Lytechinus pictus: one gene and its partners. The protein of the gene in region 1 interacts with the protein of each later gene in a biochemical or structural test. Links are inferred from orthologs where the notes say so. Each region holds a gene or a part of one and is shown in the gene's direction. Other genes may lie near its edges. The genes, in order: nuclear RNA export factor 1-like, THO complex subunit 4-like and GTP-binding nuclear protein Ran-like.

The links.
Region 2: the proteins of nuclear RNA export factor 1-like (region 1) and THO complex subunit 4-like form a complex in vitro, tested with the Homo sapiens proteins (2 studies listed by BioGRID and IntAct). The link is inferred for Lytechinus pictus from reciprocal best matches to the Homo sapiens genes NXF1 and ALYREF.
Region 3: the proteins of nuclear RNA export factor 1-like (region 1) and GTP-binding nuclear protein Ran-like form a complex in vitro, tested with the Homo sapiens proteins (2 studies listed by BioGRID). The link is inferred for Lytechinus pictus from reciprocal best matches to the Homo sapiens genes NXF1 and RAN.

The regions. Positions count from the first base shown.
Region 1 is NC_087251.1:3,281,591-3,289,200, reverse strand, and holds the start of nuclear RNA export factor 1-like, read left to right. Parts: upstream 1-4,571; 5' UTR 4,572-4,586; coding exon 4,587-4,716; intron 4,717-7,610.
Region 2 is NC_087254.1:29,241,688-29,248,884, reverse strand, and holds the start of THO complex subunit 4-like, read left to right. Parts: upstream 1-4,146; 5' UTR 4,147-4,188; coding exon 4,189-4,329; intron 4,330-4,893; coding exon 4,894-5,041; intron 5,042-6,189; coding exon 6,190-6,259; intron 6,260-7,197. UniProt on the Homo sapiens protein: Functions as an mRNA export adapter; component of the transcription/export (TREX) complex which is thought to couple mRNA transcription, processing and nuclear export, and specifically associates with spliced mRNA and not with unspliced pre-mRNA.
Region 3 is NC_087246.1:34,163,357-34,170,584, reverse strand, and holds the start of GTP-binding nuclear protein Ran-like, read left to right. Parts: upstream 1-4,131; 5' UTR 4,132-4,445; intron 4,446-4,667; exon of another isoform or gene 4,668-4,940; intron 4,941-7,090; 5' UTR 7,091-7,138; coding exon 7,139-7,201; intron 7,202-7,228. UniProt on the Homo sapiens protein: GTPase involved in nucleocytoplasmic transport, participating both to the import and the export from the nucleus of proteins and RNAs. Switches between a cytoplasmic GDP- and a nuclear GTP-bound state by nucleotide exchange and GTP hydrolysis.

The DNA.
Region 1 (7,610 bases):
TTGCCTAGGGCAACCAAAAATGAGAGTTGGGCCACCAAAATTCTGTAAAAGTCAATACTTGGTGGCCTGGTTGGGCTACCAAAGTTTTGATAAATTGTAATATTTTCTATTGTTTTTAGGGCCACTTAATTTGCTTTACGAGTCACCAAAAATATGAAATTGATGATTTTGGTTGACTGATCGGGCCACCGAGAAAAGTTAGTGTGGAACCTTGAGTAAATAACAATGTTTTGCTTTATTCACATTGTGTAACCTTGACCTCATTCTTTTGGCTTTTGTACATTCATGAGTCATTTTAATGGATAAATCTCATTTTCACACAACTGATAAAAATTTGTCAATGAGTGAAAAAAATATCCTGTCAAATTAATTTAAGCAAAGCACATTCATTAGAGGAGAATGAAACCCTTGAAACCAGCTGAATCCATATCAAAGAGAAAAATCAAAGAAACATATTGTTGAAAGTTTGAGGAAGATTGAATGAATAATAAGAAAGTTATGAGCATTTGAATATTGAGATCACTAATGCCATGTAGATCCTCCAATTGGCAATGCGACCAAGATCTGTGATGTCACACGTACAACTCCCTCATTACTTTAGTACTTATTTCACTTATATTCTCACTTTTATAGAGTCTATCACAAGGTGAGGTGTTCTTTTTATGAGAGGACAAGTACAGAGGTTTCACAACATTATATCATTGATGAATCGTTTGTCATATGATTAGAATGAGCAAAAAGAGATGTTTTGGGGTATATTTTCAGTGTCCAAAAGGGGAGAGTTGTTCATCTGTGACATCATAGATCTTGGTCGCATTGCCAATAGGAGGATCTCCATAGCATTAGTGATCTCGACATTCAAATGCTCACAACTCTTCTATTGCTAGTCCTATTTTACTCAAACTTTTGTTGATCTTATTCTTTGATTTTTCTGCTTTCACAAAAGCTAACTTGCTCCAAGAGTTTCATTCTCCTTTAAGAAGTAATGTTATTTGCAAAAAGGTGAGTTAACTAAATTTTTGTTATTTTATATTTTTATGACAGGATTTTTAGCAAAATTATTTTCCACTTGTATATAATTTCAATTAGCTACATTATTTATATAAGTCATCTATATTTATGATGAAATAGAGACATGTACCCACGTTCCCTGTCAGTGATAATGGAGAAACTAATCCTGGGGCCCGTCTTACAAAGAGTTGCGATTGATCCGATCAATCGTAAATATGGAAAGCCAGCAAAGTCAACATATAAAATGCACGATTATTCAAAAAAAAATTCTAGATATGAATGCATCCATAAATTCATTGATTTCTTGACAATTTGGTGTGTTCTCCTTTGTTTACAAAGGACAGTTTGCAAATTTCCTGTAAAAAAATTATGACACTGATGGATCTCCATAGAGTTACGATTGATTGGATCAATCGTAACTCTTTGTAAGACGGGGACTTGATCTAGCAATAGAAAAGGTCATACAATACAAGTCTTCAGTAACCTAAAACAGGTACAGTATAGTGATAACAGGCAATTTGATAAACCACATGGTTTAACAGGATAGCATAGGAGGAGACAAAGTGGAACACAAATGAAAGGGAGGGGGAAAGACATGGATGAGAGCCTGGAAGAGGAAGATATGAAAGAGATTACTTAGTGATCAACCGCGTAGCCAGGATTTCATTTTGGAGGGGGTGGTAAATGCACGCGAAGCGTGCCAACGCTTACAGAGCGCGTTCCCTAGGGGGTGGGTGCAGGGAGGGGGAGTTTCCCCCTCCCGCGCGAAGCTTTTGGTGTTTCATAAATTAAAATGAAAAGGAGTTGTCTCTCTTGTCTCTAGTATCTATATCAGCTCGAATTCAGTTGACTATATTGTGATTTTGAACCTGGTTTTCATGAACCTTGTTTTAAAAAAAGATTGTGAACGCACAAAAAAGGAATACAATGGAGGAAATTAAAATGATAATAACCCCGCGCGAAGTGCGGCAGCTAAAGCGTTTTATCAATTTTTTGCCATGAAAAGGGTCCCGAGAAAAGGATATTCTCAAACATATATTGAATACTTCCCTTGGAAAGATCAGATTTGATTACAAACAATTTAGCGACAGTGCATATCTTTAACTCGCAAAACAGAGGAGAAGAAGTGTATATGCATGGAGGAAGAAATTCCTCCCCGCGCAGAGCAACGAAACTCTGAAATTTCAAAGGGCGGATGTTTCATCAAAATAATGCAGATACCTCCAATACCCCATCGGCTCTAATTCAATTAATTTTCTAAGATTATTGAACTTCATTTAAAGGAAAATAGTGCGCAAAAAGTTGAAACTTCTGTGATTTATTGAAATTATATAAAAAGGATGCCTAATTTCTTTGACTTATCCTGAAGCGCTTCATTTTGAATTATAAATAAACTTAAGAGTCATTCGAAATTTCAAACTGAGGGCGAAAAACAGGACAGGAGATGAATGTACAGGGAAATGACATGAAGTTGAATAGAATTTGATAAAAAATATTGTACTTTTTTATTTAATACCCTTATACGATACGAATTTTATACCTTCCTCTTTTTGGATTAGGAACCTGTTTGCCCCAAAAATTATGGTTGTTTAGTAATGAGCTGAAAAGCGGGAGAAGTTGACTTTATGGAGGTGACGGCAGAAATTGATATAAAGATTTTACCCGCCCGGAGCCGACCCGACCAGAAGTTGCGCGATCAATTTAAAAAAAAGATAACTTCATATACTTCGGCCTGACCTTACTCTAATTCCATGCCCTAATGTATACATTTGAACTTTAACTGGCAATAAACACATATAGCTGAGGTAGAAAAACAGGGTTAGAGAAAGGGTGGGGGAAACAATTGGAGATCTTCAATATTTTCATTTAACCGCGCGCAGCGCGGAAGCAAAATTCATAACCATAAATTTAGAGCAAGAGTGAAGGAGTTTCTCTTTTGAGAAAAAAAAAAGAATAAAAAGAAAAAAAAAACACAAAGCTACCTTTTTTCCCTTTCCTCCCTTCCCTTTTCCTTTTCTCCTCTCTTTTTTTCCTTCTTTTTGGGGACGTTTTGGGGGGGGCGACCGCCCCCACCGCCCCCCTGGCTACGCGCCTGTTAGTGATACAAGTACATACATATTTGACCTAAGATACCTACCATTAGACAGGACCTGTTGCATATTTATTGATTAAATACATGAGAGATTCATTACTTCCATTTTAAGCCAGCTTGAAAAATATGATGTATTTTATAAAATACAAATTTGTTGTGTTTACTTCAATTAAATTAGGTACATGATCATGATAGAATAGGTAAAGGAGATAGATAAAGAGAAATAAGTGATTTGAGATTGGATAGGATATGGAAGCTTAGCATGGGGTGACTCCTTCCTCCTGGAAAGTGATAAATTTCTGAAAACATTCCCCATTTTTTCTGTTATTTCAGGGTAAAGTATCAGGGTCCTCCTGTCTCACAAAGAGTTGCTATATTGATCTGATCAATGCAACTATGGAAGGCCAGCAACAACGTCAACATCTAAAATGCATCTTTGTTCAAAATATTTCCTACATGTTGTATATTCATACATTCATTGCTTTCTTGAAAAAGTTCTGCATGCTTCTTTTTGTTTACAAAGGCTTTATTGTGCAAATTTCTTGTAGAAAAAATATGACATTGATGGATTTCCATACAGTTAAGGTTGATCAGATAAATTGCACCTCTTTAGTTTAGACGGGGCCCAGGTCTGAATATTATAAATAATAAACTTAAAAGTGCTGTTTATCAATAGGCTTTAATTCCATTGGCTGTTTCAGCATGGATTGCTGCATATAGGACCCGGATATAGGATATTTGAAGAGAGCATAGAGATACAAAAATTAATTATGGTACAATATGGCAATCACAGTAATTCCACTATATCAAAAAAGTTGTTATGGAAGGAGATTTGTTATAAGTGCCCTTTTCAAGGAAATGTTTGTTTATGTCCCGGGTTTATGTCACCAATCAAGAGAACTTTTATATTCCAGGGATATATAGGCCCAGGGTGAATGGCATTCTATGGTAGTTGGGCCATTGTATACGGTATGCATAGTAATTCCTTTTTTGTTTTACAATTTTGTATTACAATTCAGAAAAGAGGATTATTTTTGGTGGCGTAATGCATGTAGGGCCTAAGTAAAGTTGATAATTGGTCCCTCCCCCGTCAACCTTTCAGATGCCACTATATACCACCAGGAGCTGGACAGAAGATCCTGCCAGATTGAACCTTATAATTATGTAAAAAAACAAAAGGCTGGGCCGAAAAGGGAGCTCCAAAAAAGCCCCCCCGCCCCCTCCTCCTCCCAATGCTGCGAAGAATTGTAGTGCCATAGAAAGTGTAATCTGTTTTCCGTTTTGACTATGGGATGGCTTTTTAAAATTTTCCAAAAATGCTTTGTTATATATATGTTTTAATCCCTTTCTCAACGCTGGAGACGAGGCCTTGTACTTGTCAGACGTGAGGTGGCGCAAGACCACTAAAATCGACGACTTCAACGGTGTACGAGACGTCGACCCTGTACGTACGTAAATTGTACGTGCGCGCGCCCATACCGGTATGCCATATGACGAGTCTGGCGGCGAGGCCGAAATACAAGTCGGAAAACGGAACATCATGTCGAGTTTTCAGCGTCATGGAGATTTCACAGTGACAAAATCTACTAAAGGAGGTGGTAGAAATTACTACGGTAAATATAAAAAGATGTTCTTTCTGTTTTGCATGATAAGTGTAAGAAAATATTTGCCGGTTTTCTCAATCATACTGCGTGTGAATGTTGAAAAGTTTGTAGTTTTTGTACCGTACGGTTCCGGTACCCAGTTGTTGTTTGTCCGGACAGGTTGTGTGTCCGGACGATCAATTTTAGAAAGTCATTTGGAAAAAAATACAAGCGAAGTTTCATCAATTTTTAGTACAAAACGTTAGGAAATATTATAAAGAACAAAACAGAAGATGATTACAAGTATTGAATTTATATTTTTAGTGTAATACAAAGACAAAAAAGAAGGCGTCAAAAAGATAAAGTGTCCGGACACCCGACCCCCCCATCCTACCGCTTTTGAATGTGAGAGACCATTGGCATTGCCATTGATTATGAAAGGGGGGGGGGGGGGGGTGGCCTCTGCTCGCCTAACTATTTTTTAAAGTTAAAATTTAACATGAATTCATGAATTTCTTTTTATTTCACAAACATTTTCTGTTGATAAAGTTCCTTATATTCTTCTGAGTAAGTGTGCCGAAAATCTCAGATACGATTACCGGTGTCAGTGTGTGCTGTATCAGTGTATGTGTAATCACAATTCCACAATATTTTCAATTAGTACCGTAAGGGCACTAGTTAGTAGTATTCAACCCGGCATAATTCAAAGATTTTGACAAATTCCCCCAAATATTTAGCACTTTTGCACTGAATTGCACTAGTATTCAACCTAGTGATGATAAGCGAATTTCAAAATGGTTTAAATTGCTAAACTAGATAGATCTATGCAAGTCTCTGGCTTTGACTAATTCCGTTTCTTGGTCTCATCTCAAATGGTCTAGTCCATAGGCAGATGGGACAAGGGCAGATTGAGAGACAGGGCCATCTTATAATCGCTAGGTTGAATACTAGTGCTGACGGATTGAATACTAGTGCCAAAAACCATCGCCGTATAATTCGATCGCCCGCGCACACAGTCGACGGGTTGAAGAAAAAAATAACGCAAAAAGAATAACCAGCATTTGCTCTTGGAAGTAAGACAGGTCTGAAATTAAGGTAAATTCCAAATTTCTATATCAAGGCTCCACATTAACTTTTTTTGGTGGTGGCCCGTTTGGGCCACCAAAACCATCAAATAATTTTTTTTGGTGGCCCGATATTAAAGTTTGGTGGCCCGAAAAATATAAAGAAAAACATTAAAAATGAATAAAACAAACTTCTGAAATATTAATTCTGCAGCCAATACCACTATGTTACTTTTACTTTATACATCTTGTATGTAAACCTTGTTTGCTGTTATTTTACTTTGCTAATTGATAAATGTTTCTATCGTTGTAAAAATGAAATGATTGAAAGAGAATAAATGAATTGTATTGTTCGCAGGTTGTGTGGACTTTTTTAAAAATCTCTGTATAGAGATAATGGTAAAGTAAATAAATAGTGCATAGCAAATTCAGATAGATGTACAAAACAATGGTTTTTCCTTCCTTCCTCTTTGAATCCTAAAACCTAGATTATGCATGCCCCAAATCCAGTTTATTTCTGTTTTCTCTTTTGCAGCATATTATAGAAGGAGAAAATCACAGAAAAATATGCTGCAAAATTAAAACAATGAATAAAAGGGGGAAACAAACGAAAATAATTTTCAAAAAGTATATTACAAAAAGAAAACAAAAATAAAAGAAATTAGTGAAATAAAATAAAAAGAAAGAAAATCATAGAAAGAAAAAAACAAAGAACAGGGAAAAAAAGAAAAGAAAAAAATTAGAGAGAAAAAAGAAAAGAAAATGAAAGAAAAATTAATAAAACAAAGTTAATAAAAAAATGGGGAAAAGGAGAAAATTAAGAAGCCATTACATATATTTTTAACAGCTGTGGCAACAGTCTATTCTGACTGGAATATAATTAAAAGCCAAGCAAATAATTTTCACTTTTTGGGAATGGCACATTTTTATTTGTATATCCTTTAGTTTGTATTATTTTATTTTCAGTAGAAACATATTTTTTAATCAGGCATATTCACTGGGAAGGGGTATAAATGGTTTAACCACTGTCAAAAAAAATCAAAGGAAAAAAAATAAGAAAACGGCAAAAATTATATCTGGAAAAAAGTGTGAGAAAAGTCCTTCCCTATGTTTGCCAAAATGTTGGAAAAAAAATCACATTTCATATCAATGAAATGCCTTCCCAAAGTATTTACTTTCTCAAGAGTGGTTTAAGAAGTCATTTATAAACAAGAAAGAAAGAAACTGTCTGTTTGTTTTTGGCTAGAAAATACACAGCTTCGAAAGAAACCAAGTATCAACATACATACAAATGCACACGTGGGACTGTGATGTACTTGCCTATGTGTTTTTATGTGTATTAATTCATGTGGAAATCGGTCTTTTTTAGTCAAAAGAGAGGTCATAATTCCTCTTCTTAATACTTGCAAATAATCAGGGTACACCAGATTTTCGTAATATAGACTGTAGAATTGCATTTCATTGGTGTAAAATGTGACTTTGACTTAGATTTTCAAAGTTCTGTGGAAGATTTCTCAGCAGCAACATTTTTTATCGCAGCTCCCCGAGTCTGAATAGGCTGAGCTAGATCTAGAGCACAGCTGTATGCAGTGGCTTCATGCAAAGCTCATGCCAGCCGGCCGGCGCGTCTGGCTGGATAATAGCTACTCTATGCTGTAGCTGTAGGCCTAATATGCAAACTTTGTGTGTGTGTATTTGTGTGTAGATCAACAAAAAGGGCGCATGACGAACTGGCTTGCAACTTGAGCTGTAGAAAGTTGATAAATGCGTGCAAAATTGGGAGAAAAATTGCGCTACTTTGAAAATTATTGGTTGCCCGATTCGGGCCACCAAAACTTAACATTTTATCAATAATGGTTG
Region 2 (7,197 bases), on another chromosome or scaffold:
CTGAATTTGGGGTGAAATTATCAGTCAAGAGGGATGCATTATTGGGGCTTCGTAGGATCAACGGACGCGCTCGACGCACTCGCAATGGTATGTAGGGATTTTGATAGAGCAAGTACCGAATATACCGTTGTCCCTAATTATAATGGAAAGGTCATGATGTGGGGATTATCATTTGGACATTCAAAAATAACGAAAGTAATACATTAGGTGGAAATCGCCAATTAAAAAGCGCTAAAATGCCTCTCCAAAATACGCCTCCCATCGGTCTCTGAATTGACTCGAATTTGATGAGGTGTATGAGAGTGTACGAGAGACGTGATTGGCTCTCCCACGTCAAGCGCCATTTGCATGCAAAACCTGTTGCGAGGTCACGTTTTCTCCACACTGTCACTGAATACTTCGATCACGAAATGAAAGAAAACCCAGAAGTTTATCTAGATTTTTGATTTTCAAATTGATGATTTGAAGATGAAGAGAATGATGATGAAGTTTCTAGCTCTAGTGACGTGGATGGAGGTAAATTTAGCCAGGCGGCTTCTAGAGAGTAAAAATCATTTACTAACGTAAGGTTACTCTCATACGAAGCCAGGCCTTCTATCACATAGACCCACACAAAGGAAGCCAAAACCTGAAACTTTCACCCCCGAGATTTCTACTTTCCTTCTAAAAGATCTAGCTCTAAATCATGTACATGGGATAAAACTTCATTTCCGACATTTCTACGCTCTCGTTATTTTTAAAACAAGAATTTATCAAAAAAATGAAAAATTATTGTGAAAAGACGGAAGAGACTTGCCCGATGTTTACGCCGCCATCTTGTTTCTTATTGTACTTCCCCAACGTTACGCGACGCTCGCGTCCGTAACGTTGGGGAAGTACAATAAGACAATGATGAATTCTTCTTCAAAAATAACAACGAGAGCGTAGAAATGTCGGAAATGAAGTTTTATCCCATGTACATGATTTAGGTCTAGATCTTTTAGAAGGAAAGTAGAAATCTCGGGGGTGAAAGTTTCAGGTTTTGGCTTCCTTTGTGTGGGTCTATGAGATAGAAGCCCTGGCTTCGTATGAGAGTAACCTTACGTTAGTAAATGATTTTTACTCTCTAGAAGCCGCCTGGCTAGTCAGAAGCCCATTTGTTTTGTATGTGATTGACAACAAAATTCCTTATCAAATTTCAAAATAAAAGTAGACGGTGAATTTTTAAAGTAGTCGGTGAAAAGGGGTAATTTTTCGTGAATGAGGAATCTGCTTATCACATTTTTATTTGCCGCCAAGGTAATCCTTTTGCAGCAAATGTAAACAAAGGAAATTGGACTCCAAAACTGGAGACTGTCTCTGAAATTGGATACCCAAATTCTTTACAAAAGTCTCTGATATTGGAGATAATCTCCCACATTGGAGACAGTCTCCAATATTGGCCGTGCGCCGCTACTGACATCTGGATTCTGGAATTAGCGGTATTTACTTACTTAGATCAGATCTACTTACTTCATGTACTTGGATTGCCTGGAGGCTCCTGGAGAATAACAGTCATTTTACTGACATAGGCTTACTCTCCATGGAGCCTGGGATGGGATGGTATATGCCCACACACACCAAGTATTTTGGAGACAACAATGTTGCTCCAAAATACTTGTTCTCTTTAATAACTTACCATTAAGTAAACTTATGTAAATGGGCTACAACTTCATTCCCCCCCCCCCCCCCCTTGGAAAAAAACAATTCTTTTTACACCAAAAATTATATAAGAAAAGAAGAAAAATCATGTAAGAAGATGAACTATACTCACAGATGTTATTGTCGATGTCGCCATCTTGACGTTTTTGTTATCGTAGCCAAAATACAGATGCGTATAGAGGCATGAGCAGTGCCAACTTAGATATTTAAAAAAATTGCGTCGTCCAATAGATATCATGGATTGTAAAATACTTGCATCGGCTAATAGATATCATGGAATCACTTCATGATATTTATCGGCCGACGCAAGTATTGTTTTTTATCCAAGTTGGCACTGCTCATGCCTCTATCCGTGTCTGTATCTTTGGCTACAATAACAAAGACGGCAAGATGGTGACAATAATATCTGAGTATAGCTCATCTTCTTACATGATTTTTGTCTCACCTGCATAGCAGAGTGAGACTATAGGCGCCGCTTTTCCGACGGCGGCGGCGGCGTCAACACCAAATCTTAACCTGAGGTTAAGTTTTTGAAATGACAGCATAACTTAGAAAGTATATGGACCTAGTTCATGAAACTTGGCCATAAGGTTAATCAAGTATTACTGAACATCCTGCCTGAGTTTCATGTCACATGACCAAGGTCAAAGGTCATTTAGGGTCAATGAACTTAGACCATGTTGGGGGAATCAACATCAAAATCTTAACCTAAGGTTAAGTTTTTGAAATGTCATCATAACTTAGAAAATATATGGACCTAGTTCATGAAACTTATACATAAGGTTAATCAAGTATCACTGAACATCCTGCATGAGTTTCACATCACATGACCAAGGTCAAAGGTCATTTAGGGTCAATGAACTTTGGCCGAATTGGGGGTATCTGTTGAATTACCATCATAACTTTGAAAGTTTATGGATCTGATTCATGAAACTTGGACATAATAGTAATCAAGTATTACTGAACATCCTGTGCGAGTTTCAGGTCACATGATCAAGGTCAAAGAACTTTGGCCACGTTGGGGGTATTTGTTGAATTGCCATCATATCTCTATAAGTGTATTGGTCTAGTTCATAAAACGTGGAAATAAGAGTAACCAAGTATCACTGAACATCTTGTGCGAGTTATAGTAGTTTTCAAAATCAGCACTGCTGCTATATTGAATCGCGTGATGCAGGTGAGACGGCCAGAGGCATTCCACTTGTTCTTAATTTTTATATTATTTTTCATGTAAAAGGAAGTTTATTAGTTCCTAATGGGGGAAATGAAGTTGTTTTGCATTTACTTAAGTTTGTGATAAGTAAGTTAAAGAAATCGAGTATTTTGGAGCAACATTGTTGTCTTCAAAATACTCGGTGTGTGTGGGCCTATGCCATCCCGTCCCAGGCTTCATGGAGAGTAAGCTTACGTCAGTAGAACTACTTTTACTCTCCAGAAGCCTCCAGGCTACTTATAGATGCTTCAGCTGAACGCAAGACTCTGTCTCTGTATTCAGCTCCAAATTCTGTCTCTTTAGGCTGGCCAGATCATGTAAATCTCGAGATATGCATCCTGTCGCTTTGGCAAAAAACAAAGAAAACAAGATGGCGATGTAAACATCGTGGCAATTTTTCCCTGTCTTTTCATAATATTTTTCTCATTTTTTATGAATTCTTGTTTAAAAATGAAATCAATATTGTAGAAATGTCGGAAATGAAGTTGTATCCCAATTACATGATTTAGGGCTAGATCTTTCAGAAGCAAAGTAGAAATCTCTGGGGCGAAAATATCAGTTCTTCCCGGTACACGCACATGAATGGGACGCAATCCCTGGCTCTTTGGCGAGTAAGCACACGTTAGTGAATGATTTTTACTATCTAAGAGCCTCCTGGCTAGACTTGGTGGGATGCATAATTATATGCAAGCGCAAGTTCAAATCAAATGTAATGTACTAAGAGTAAGAGATCTACATGAACTGCAAGAAGATTTTTACACCGCATGATCTGCAGCAAATCGATCTACATGTAGTATAAAATGTGTCAAGTTTTACATAAATACAGGAAGACTAGATCTAGTCTTATGTGAGAAAGATTAATAAAATAATGTGAGAGAGATGAAATAATGTAAGAACATGAAGAAAGAGGGAAAGAAGAAGAAGAATATTGAACATCTTCCTTACTCTCACCCAGGGACAGAGTGTGCAGCTGGCATTTGATTTGTTGGTGCCAGAATGAGATTGTGTTGCATGGATTCATAGATTCCACTGCCAGTATTCCAGAATTCCATATTTGGGCTTCATCCAGTGATCATCCAGAGATGGTGTTCATGTTAAAAATCATTGCAGATAATCATGAATCAAAATATGATCAGAACAAAATTAAAATGCTGATCTATATCAATTTTTTGTCAATGAAGTCTAGATCTACATATCGTGTAATTTTTTTTTCTTTTTAAAGAAAATTGTAATAAAATGTGATTTTGATGGGGTCTTCATATTTTTTGCTTGTTTTCCTTATTTAGCCAAAACAGATGCCCGATCAGTGGCAGCATGATATGTACAGTGAAGGTGGAGGTGCAATCAGAAGACAAGGATTATCAACTGCAGCGAACGGACCTGGAAAACTGCTAGTTTCAAATCTGGACTTTGGTGTTTCAAATAATGATATTGAGGTTAGTTACATTTCATCATTATGTCCCTTGTTGTTTAGTGGTAGGGCTCTTGACAAGTATTTTCCTTTCATTTCCATCTGTAACTTAGCAGTTTCTGTACCCTTTCTTAATTTCATAAAGACTTGATTTACTGCACATGTGCTCAGAAGAAAAGATGAATTTAAATGGTTGTCAGTATTAACTGATTGTATTGATTATGACTTGCTACTCTGTCAAGGATCCATTCCTCATTATCACTTTATTTGTTGAGTACCAGTGCCAATATTCAAAATGCTCAAACACACACCCTTTTGACTTAAAGTAATTTACACCATAACAAGCCAGTTATAAGACAAAATGCACACAGTGGAAACATTCATGTACCTATTATTTTACTGTTTCACTGTCAATGCAAATTAAGTACACCATGCTATCATTGCAGTTTTCAAATTCACTTTTGTGTGACATTATAACTGTGCTTCAGAAAATACTAACAGTGCCAGCCTGCAGTCAGAACTTCAAAGTAATAGGTCCCTGTAACATCTATAGATATTCTTCATTATTATAATGGTATTCTCTCTCCAGGAATTGTTTGCAGACTTTGGTAGTCTAAAGAAGGCTGCGGTTCATTATGACAGGACGGGAAGAAGTCTTGGTACAGCAGACGTTATCTTTGAAAGGAGAGCAGACGCTATGAAAGCAATCAAGCAGTACCATCAAGTGCCATTAGATGGTGGGTAATCATAATGCTTCCATTTTTTTCGCTTCAGCTGCTGTATTCCTTGAAGGGTCATGTTTGGGTTTTAGAGAGAGAGGGAGAGGTTTAGTTTGAGATGGCATGATGTTAAAGATCATGTTAGTTTTATTAAGTCTGGCTTCAAAGTTTCCATAAGAACAATATACAAATAGCGAATAGGCATGAGTGCGATGGTGCGAGATTTCGCATGAGGTGAGTGAAAGATGCTCTATTCAACGAGGCGTTAGCCGAGTTGAATAGAGCATTTCTTTCTTTCACCGAATGCGAAATCTCGCACCATTGCACGAATAAGAATATTCGCTATTTGTGTTGTACAACGCCTCGGAGTTTAGCGAATTTATGAAAAAACAAAGAGTTTTTCCTGCAGTAATCTATGAAAAGGGAGCAAAAATATGGAAAGCGAAAAGCAAAATCCCACAAGCGACCACCTCGGGCCTGGGCAGCATTGCGCATTTAGCCAGCAGGCTATTCGCGTATTGCACCTGCATTTTTACTGAGCGCAATGAATTGAATCGTATTGTGACGTCACCTCCTAAAGCCGTGCAACGGTACATTTTGGATGGTACGTCTTTTGTGCAACGGTACGAATGTTTGACATTCAGCCTCCCATTTGCTCGCGTACAACAAGCTAAGTAGGCGTTGTACAATGAAGGCTCACACATGAGACCCATCATATCTTTATGGGCACATGAAAAGGGATATCACAATTCTGTGATGCTGTCATTCAAATTTCATTAGAGTTGAATTCTTCAGGTATAGAATAATTGTTATGCAAGGTTGGTATACTATCATTAATTGCATAAAGTTTGCAAGTGTCTTTGATGACAGCCCACTGAATAATGAATGATCAAAGTGACATGTCAACCATTTTCACAATGTTATTTATGAATCATGACTATGATGCAGCACAGCTTTTTGTCCCATGAATTTCTTTCATGTTCACTTTTAGTGGTGCAGATCTGCAAAAATTAGTTTTAGGGGTCATACTTGATTGAAAATGTCATTGACACATCATTTATTTTTTCTCTCCAAGTCAAATTAATATCAATAGAATTGTCCTTGATTATCAATTGAATATGGTAACAATATTTTGACTTTTCTTATTTGCCCCGTTGCATCAACAGGTCGACCGATGAATATTCAGTTAGTGGGTTCAGCGACTGAGCTAGAGTCAAACCCAATGCAATCAAGACCGTAAGTTTGCATCTTTTCTATTTTGTCCATTCTCCTGTAGTTAGGGTATCTTGTAAAGGCCTGCTTTCTAAAGTTGTATGTTTTGTATTTATGTTTGTGCTAGAATATGATCTAATTATGACATCAAGATTTGAAGAAAAAAAATTAAATATTTCCTTTTAATTTTTAAAGTTTTTTTTTTTAGACTGGTGGAACAAAGAGATAATAGTAATACTACAAAATATGTATTAAAGCTATGTAAAAGCAACATTTAGATAATTTAAAGTGTTCATTCAGTCCCACCAATTGTCTTTTGGATCAAAACACAATTTGTCAAGTTGGGCATATGTAAAGGCTCAACAAAGGATGCTCGTAAACTATTCTTGTTCTAGTCGCTCTAATTGAGTCATCGAAATTTAGATTTTATAGGCCCTTGCAAACATATTTTGCCCTCATTGTATGTTATGAGGAAGACTGAGAAAGATGTGTTATTTCACACAGGTTGTGTACATTGTAAGCGGTTTTATATTCTTGCCTAACAAATCCCAACAGAGTAAACATAGGAATAGCAAGTTCAGGATAATGAATAAGTTGTAACCATTTGGCACATTTATGCATAATGTATTTTACTCAGATTAAAGAATAGCAGTTTGTCCACCCTCTGATTGTTTGCAAAATTGTTGCCTGTAAGCAAAAATGTTATTGTTTGTTTTATAGTTGTCTTATCTTTTTCATTCTGTTTGGATTTTCAAGGCAAGAATGTAAAAGTGCTTGCATATCCTGTGTGTATGAAAGCAAATATCCAGGGGGTTGAGTCCAGTATGATTAGCATTGAATACTCTTTTCTCAAAACCAATTTAAGCTATTTTCCTTCAAGGAGATACTGCTATTCTCTCTTTTTGATCTTGTTTGCCACATCCTGTTTTGAGATTAGCTTAAGTGACATGCCTTTTGTTGTT
Region 3 (7,228 bases), on another chromosome or scaffold:
CTTTACACGGAGCTGTGATTCACATGAAACTGGCTAAGGTTTTTTAATCATTGTCAAGCTTGGGAAAAGTGTGGAGAAGAAATGTAAACCCCGTATAAAAACGTAGTGAAAGAATGCTGGACTGAGAGGTCTGAAATAAACTTTTGTTTACATTCAGTTATGTCCTCATATCCAGCTGGCACAAAAAGGTAAAGGTTGTGCTTACCTAGGATTAAAATGTTGATTTGGGTGGCAAGGTTGTTACAGAATGTTATGTATCTGGTTTATTTCAATTGGCTAAACATGATGAGAAAATGTTCAGCACAGTCAGTTTGTTTTCGCCTATATGTTTTCCTTGACCTGTTGACACAGCGTGAAAATAAGCATTTCTGCCCAAACCGATTTCTGCGAGCTTTACAGAAAACTCAGTGCTCACTCAAGTGTAACATTCTGTCAAAATTCTTAGTTTCATTGGATAGATGAGACCCAAACCCAATGTGAAAGAATTATCCACATGGGCCCGTACTCTGAAGTCAGGTCAACCGCGTAGCCAGGATTGAATTTTTGAGGGGGCGGTAAGTGCACGCGAAGTGTACCAACCAAAGACCTTATTATATATTACGGTGCCAACACTTACAGAGCTCCCGATAGGCGTTAATGTTGAAAACTGAAGGCGTCTCTTGCGTCTCTAGTACCCTATCAACTCGAATTCAATTGACCTGCTGTGATTAAAAACAAATTGTTTTCGAAAGAGAAATTATGAGCGCCCAAAAATTGGAAAAGATTGGAGAATTTGAAATAATTCCTCTTACCGCGCGAAGCGCGGAAGCTTAAAACGTTTTATAAAAATAGAGAACAGAAATGTTACAATTATTATTTTTTTATTTATTTATTTATTCATATTTCACCAGGGTAGCTCATTCAACAAAAGTTGATCTTCCATGAGGCCCTGGATAACAAACAATACAATTATATACAATTAAATACAATCAATGGTGATAATACATATACATAATTATGCCTATCTTGGTCACATCAGATTTGATTGTGAAAACTTTATCCACATCAAATTTCGTTAACTCAAGTCAAAACAGAAAACGGGTATATGCAGGAAGAAAATAGGCCCTATATTCCTTCCGCGAATGGCGTTGAAGCTCTGAATTATAGAAATTTCTCTGAAACTTTAACCTGTTCTAATTTTGATATTTCTTAGATTATATACAACTCGATTAAGAAGAAAAACGAGCTCAAAATTTGAAAGGAATGATGCAAGTTAGAAAAGGGACTTTTCCTTTCCCATGCTCGCGAATCACGGAAACCTCTGTGATTTATTTTGGAAGAAAAAACATTGTGTAATTTCGCTCATATTAAGCGCTTCCTTTTGTTTGATCAAGAAACTTCAGTGATATTCAAAATTTCAAATCAATGGCGCAAAACAAGACAGGAAATGGATGTACAGCGATACAGAATAAAGTGTAATATCGTACATAATTATTTTTGCATATACCACGGCATGAATTTAACGTCTCCCCTTTGAGCAGATACTTTGCAAAAAATTACTTCTTGAAAAGCGTAGAAATAGCATTTGGGGATTCGGGTAGTGACGGAAAAAGTCTCCCCGCTCCGAACAGATGAGCCGAAATTTTGTGTCAATGCAAAACAATTAAAAATACTTTGCATACTCTTTACACTCGCCCATGTACTTTATAATTTCTGGCAAGAATATACAATTCCCCCAGCCGGGAAGGGGAAAACGGAGTAGAAAAAAAGGTGTGGGAAACAAAAGGGAATAGCAATTTTGATATTTTTCCTGCGCGGAGCGCGGAAGAAAGTTTTTTTGTAAAGAGAAAAGAACGTCTCGTTCAGGTTTTTATTCTCTTGACAAAAAAAGAGGAAAAAAACAACGAAGCTTTACTTTTCTTCCCTTTTCTCCTTTCGCTTTTTCTTTTTTTTTCCTTTTCCCCTTCTTTTTTTTTCTTTTTGGGAGCATTTTTTTTGGGGGGGCGACCGCCCCCCCCCCCTGGCTACGCGCCTGAGTCAGGTTTAACTTAGACCATGGTCTAACTCTGTGCTAAAATTATGGGAAGCCAATAGTGTCCATAAGGTTGACAATGTTTGGCTTATTTTCTCTTTTTCTTTTGGACAAATGCTTGATTTTTTTGCACTGTCAGTTTCCATTACAGCTTTACAGTATATAACTTGGCTCTTAAGCAAATTTGATTCTTTAAATTATTTTTTTCTTGATTAAAAATAGAGCTTGAAAAATGTAAATTTTGTTGCCATATTACTTTCCACCAATAGAGGGCGTACACAAAAATATGCCCAAAATTCAAGTTTTTGAGCGCTCTGGTCAATACAAAAATTATTCTAAGTTACTAATGAAAATTAAATTGCAACTGTATGGAAATTAATAATTTTGGTCACAAAAGTGATATTTTAATGATTTTTTTAAAGTGTGTGCTCAATACAGCATTGGCATACCATAGTCCTACCTGTAATTTCCCCACAGCGGCACAGGCAGGATGGTAGCAGTGGAGTCGGCCTACTTTTGCATTTAAAAAAACGCAAAATTTCTAACGCGGTCGCCTTTCCTACAAGAATTTGGCCGTAACAAAATAATGAACAAATCCTTACTTTTAGCTTGTTGCAAAGGTTTTATCCGCTATCATAAGAATATGGTTATAATAAATCCAAGGCATGAATTAAATCATTCAAATGACTTTTAAATATAGTAACAACTTTGATATAAACCAATAAAAACGTTCCTTAAATACACTGGCGGGGGGTCACATGGCATCATTGTGGAAGCGGGGGATAATTTGTAAAAATAAATATAGGTGTATAAACATATTCTTGAAGTTTATTTTACGACAAGTTACTGATGACACTGATCAATTTTTTTCCGTTACAATGAAACACTCTAGCCTTGTAACGACAGCGGTATTTCCCACATATCCTAACAATTTTTTTTTTTTTTTTTTAGCATAATTCCAATCACATACATTAATTGACGCAACAGTCTAATAATTTAAAATGTCAAAGTTGAATTTTGCTCCAAATGTTGAATGTTGCATCATCTCTCAATACAATATCAACTATTATTCAAAAATTTCCTTTAATATTTTCCTTTTCAGTTTCACCGTTTGCATCATAGTTCCATTTCCGCATTTTCAGAAGTTTATATTAGGCCTATACTAGGATTCTATAATCCTATAGGATTTCATAAGGAACCGCTTTTCCCGATAATCATGATCCCATTTTTTATGCTCAACTCACCTCTAACTAGTGAGCAAATGAGTTTTCATTGCACGAATCTCGACTGTTTAATCCTTATATTTTTTATATAAATACTCATTTCTCCGTTTCCCTTTTCTTCTAAAGTCTTAGTTATTGATTATAATTACCCTGGCTTACTATCCTCTATAATGCACAATGTTTTAGACGACTGAAGCAACTTTCTCACAATGCGAGTTCGAAACGCGAGTGAAATTTTTACATATAGTGACATGCAAGATTTTTTGAAATTATTTTCCAAGTCTTCTCGGCCTCACCTTATTTTATTCACTCGTCTTCGTCCTTTAATTTTTCCTTTTTTTATATCCTCTCCTCCCCCCCTCATTTCCTTTTTTTCGCCGCCAATAGGGTGGGGGCCACGACCCATTGCCCCCCCCCCCCCCCCCCCCCCCCCCCGTATCGGCCAGTACTAGTGTCAGGGATCAAGATTTGGATGGTTTCAAGGAAATTTTCCATTTCAGCAGACGGGTCAAGATGATACGCATGCGTCGAAACCTTCATGAACGAGCGTGCGCAGATTTCTTCATATTCGTAGTTTAATTTCAGGAATTTTGAATAATTAGTTTGTCTTTGTGTTTCTTACTTATATATAACTATCCCAAAATTGTACCTATTTTAGACTCGATATTTCTGACTTATTAGACCAATGGCAATGACTTGATACCAGCTGTTTAAAAAATAGGTTTTTTTTTAGACGGTTTCCTCAACGCATTGTACAATGAAATGAACTCCGGGAATGAACTTGAATAATATATATTAGAATTAAAAAGACAAGATGATGGAATGTAATCATAATGGCCTTCATTATTTTGAGGGCATGGGAATTCAAGCAAAGTTCAGAAGGTATAAAATTACTACATACATCCATAAGGTTAAATGAAGTTCAGTCCTGGGCGCAGGATCTTTTGCTCATTCTACTTTCGTGATATATAAAGCCCGGATATAAAGTCCCGTATAAAGTCCCAATTTTTTTCCTAAAGTTTACTCTTGGTTTCATGCAGCTCGGAGTACTTCAAATTTAATTTTGCGACTTGAATTAGTTCTACTTTCACATTGCTATCTTCGCTCGATAGCAATTCGCAGTATATAGTACGCGTGCAATTGAAATTCTCACGTGTGATGAATGAACTGAATTTGCGCGCGACAATTGCCAGCTAAAGAAAGGAAAATAGGTAAGATAATTTCTATAGTCAAGTTTCTCATAGCATTAAGGAAAATTTATGATTCATAATTCATGCGTCTTCATCATAAGTCTCATTCGACTAATATTTTATTTGAATTTGATGAGGTATCATACTGATTTTTATCATCGAAAATCGTCCGTGCAATCCAGTTATGACTGGTTCGTTCACAACCGGCATGACCGGCTCCATATAGCCATAGGCATGCATTTGTACGTACGTTGGCCATTCGTCAGTAGGCCTGCGCCTATTGAGTATTGTGTGGGCATTGCGAATTGAGCTGGATGTGGCATTTTTGCACATGCTTGAATGCGAGATATATTTTAGTGATAGATCTAGTCTAGTTAATCGTCTTGGAAACGGCTGTGACTGACTGAGATTGCGTCAGATCTCAACCTACTAAGCCTAGGCTAGAGTAGATGTTCTCAACTTTCTGCCTAGTGTCTAACTCTAAATTTAGTAAAATTTAGACTTCATATCATACTCGTAGGTTCTACTTCTTCTACTAGTACTAGTTCAACTTCTACTTCTAGTTCTAGTGACATTCTTAAGCATTTAAAATGAAAAGGGCAAATTTTCATGTTTATACACCTTTCCATTTTCTCTCAAGGTCTGGTTGAATAAAGACATGCAGTAACACATGCCATGGGCATGATGGGTCATGGATGCATTTTCGTTAATAAAAATTAAAATGTGTGTGAACATCTTGTTTTACAATTTTACTTCAAAAGGATAAATTATTCTGATATCAAGAATGACAGAATCAGCGTTTGAAGCACTCCTAGTACCAATGAGGTCCAACATTACATGTATGGACCTCATAGGCAACATCAGTAGTATTTTTGGTTAGAAATCTCTGAGAACAGGATATATCACAAGTACAAGCTATATTCCTTTCTCTTATTTAAATTATAATTTTATAGTGTAAATGCATCGTTAGCAACAACAAAAAAATGAAAGAAATGAAGGGGAACTTACATTTTCACGGCTTTTTCCTGATTTTCTGGGCAGCTGCTCTTCTCTTCTGACTCGCGATCGAAGCTGATATGAAGATCACGTGATTCGCGTTCTCGTCAGCTGATCGGTTGGTTATTCTTTGTCAGACGTTAATAATATATATTTTATAATGCTAGCATTCATCGCTAATTTAGGTGAAAGAGATTGAAGTTAAACAGCGCCAGGTCGGAATCATAATTATTTTGGAAGATGTATTTATACACTCGATCTCATACCTGACGTAGACGGCGGTATTCAACAAATGCACAATCTTCAATATAAAAAATAAAACAGAAAGAACGCCTTGAACACAGGCCAAAATGCCTAACGATTTCTCCGCGGCATTAACAACTATCATAAAGGGCGCTCCATTTATCAATAAAGATGGATGCTAAGCTGTCTATGGCGACAAAATTTGCCGCAAATATTTACGAAGAATTGTGAGAAATGGTCTGAAAATGCAACAAAAGAACCGGTGAGTACCGATTAAACATTATCAATTTATTTAATAGAACATATTTAATGACTACAATGTAACAATTTCTAGATAATATTGCTTAGTTCTAAGCTAGGGCGGCCCAAATGCGCGTGAGTGGAGTCCCAGTTTATTAGCACGGGTAAGTATTGGGGTGTCGCCTAGAGTGGTTTGAAGCAATATAAAAAAAATGATAACTTTTCTTTAAATGAATGATAATGATATGTATGATTTACTCTGGATAATTAATTAGAATAAAGCTCAAGCTGCGGATTAATTTTTTTTTTAGATTCTCTTTGTGCCATTGACTTGTGACGTTGTGTTCAAATGTAATTTTCAAAAAGTAAAAAATTTGTTTTCTTATGTCATGTATGTATTCTATTGTTTTAAAATTTCTTATATTATGTATTAGGCCTAATCATAAGAATTAGGACCGAGTCAAAACATTTAAAAGCTGTTCAAAAGACCGTCAAACATTTACCTATTTTGACAACTGTTTAATCTGTATCGATCTAACGTTAGTAGGGCCCAGGGGGGGAAAAAACCTTCCCAAAAAGATGCTGAAATTTCACATTTTGCATTCATGAAATGGCCACCTACTTTAAAGATTTCTTTAAAATCGTTTTGATTTAGTTGAAAACTATCAAGTAAATGAAGAATATTCAGCCTCTCTCGACGATCGACTTTGGAAAATTGTTTTATGATGTTACACTTAGTCAATATTGTAGTCCCACATGCAGACTTCAGTGGTGTTGCAACATTAAATGAAAATGATCGTTTGATTGGTTTGTTTTTTATTGTTTTACACTCTGTTGAAAGTCTAAATGAAAGTCTAAATGTTGGACTAGAATATTTACAGAGTGTAACATTATAAAACGATCTTTCAGAGTCAAGAAAGAGGTGAATATTCATTTCAAGTAAATTTGGAAAATATATAGCCTTTTCCTGAATGTACATATAAAGATGTAAAATGTGACATTTCAGCAACTTTTTGGGAAGGTTTTTTTCCCCCTGGGCCCTAATCTTAGATCTATACAGGTTAAATGGTTGTCAAAATAGGTTAACGTTAATGCTGTTAACAGTCGTTTGAAGTTTGAACAGTGTTTAAACGTTTTGACTCTGCCCTAATTCCTAAAGTTTATAATATTTTTCATTATATTCACAGATCCTACAGATTTTATCACAACGCAAGCAACCAGTGTCAGACAGAAAAATGACTCAACAGGCCACAAATATAGATCAATTAAAGACACAAGATCCAATTGCACAATTCAAGGTAAAGTTTATCTCTTAACAACATCTT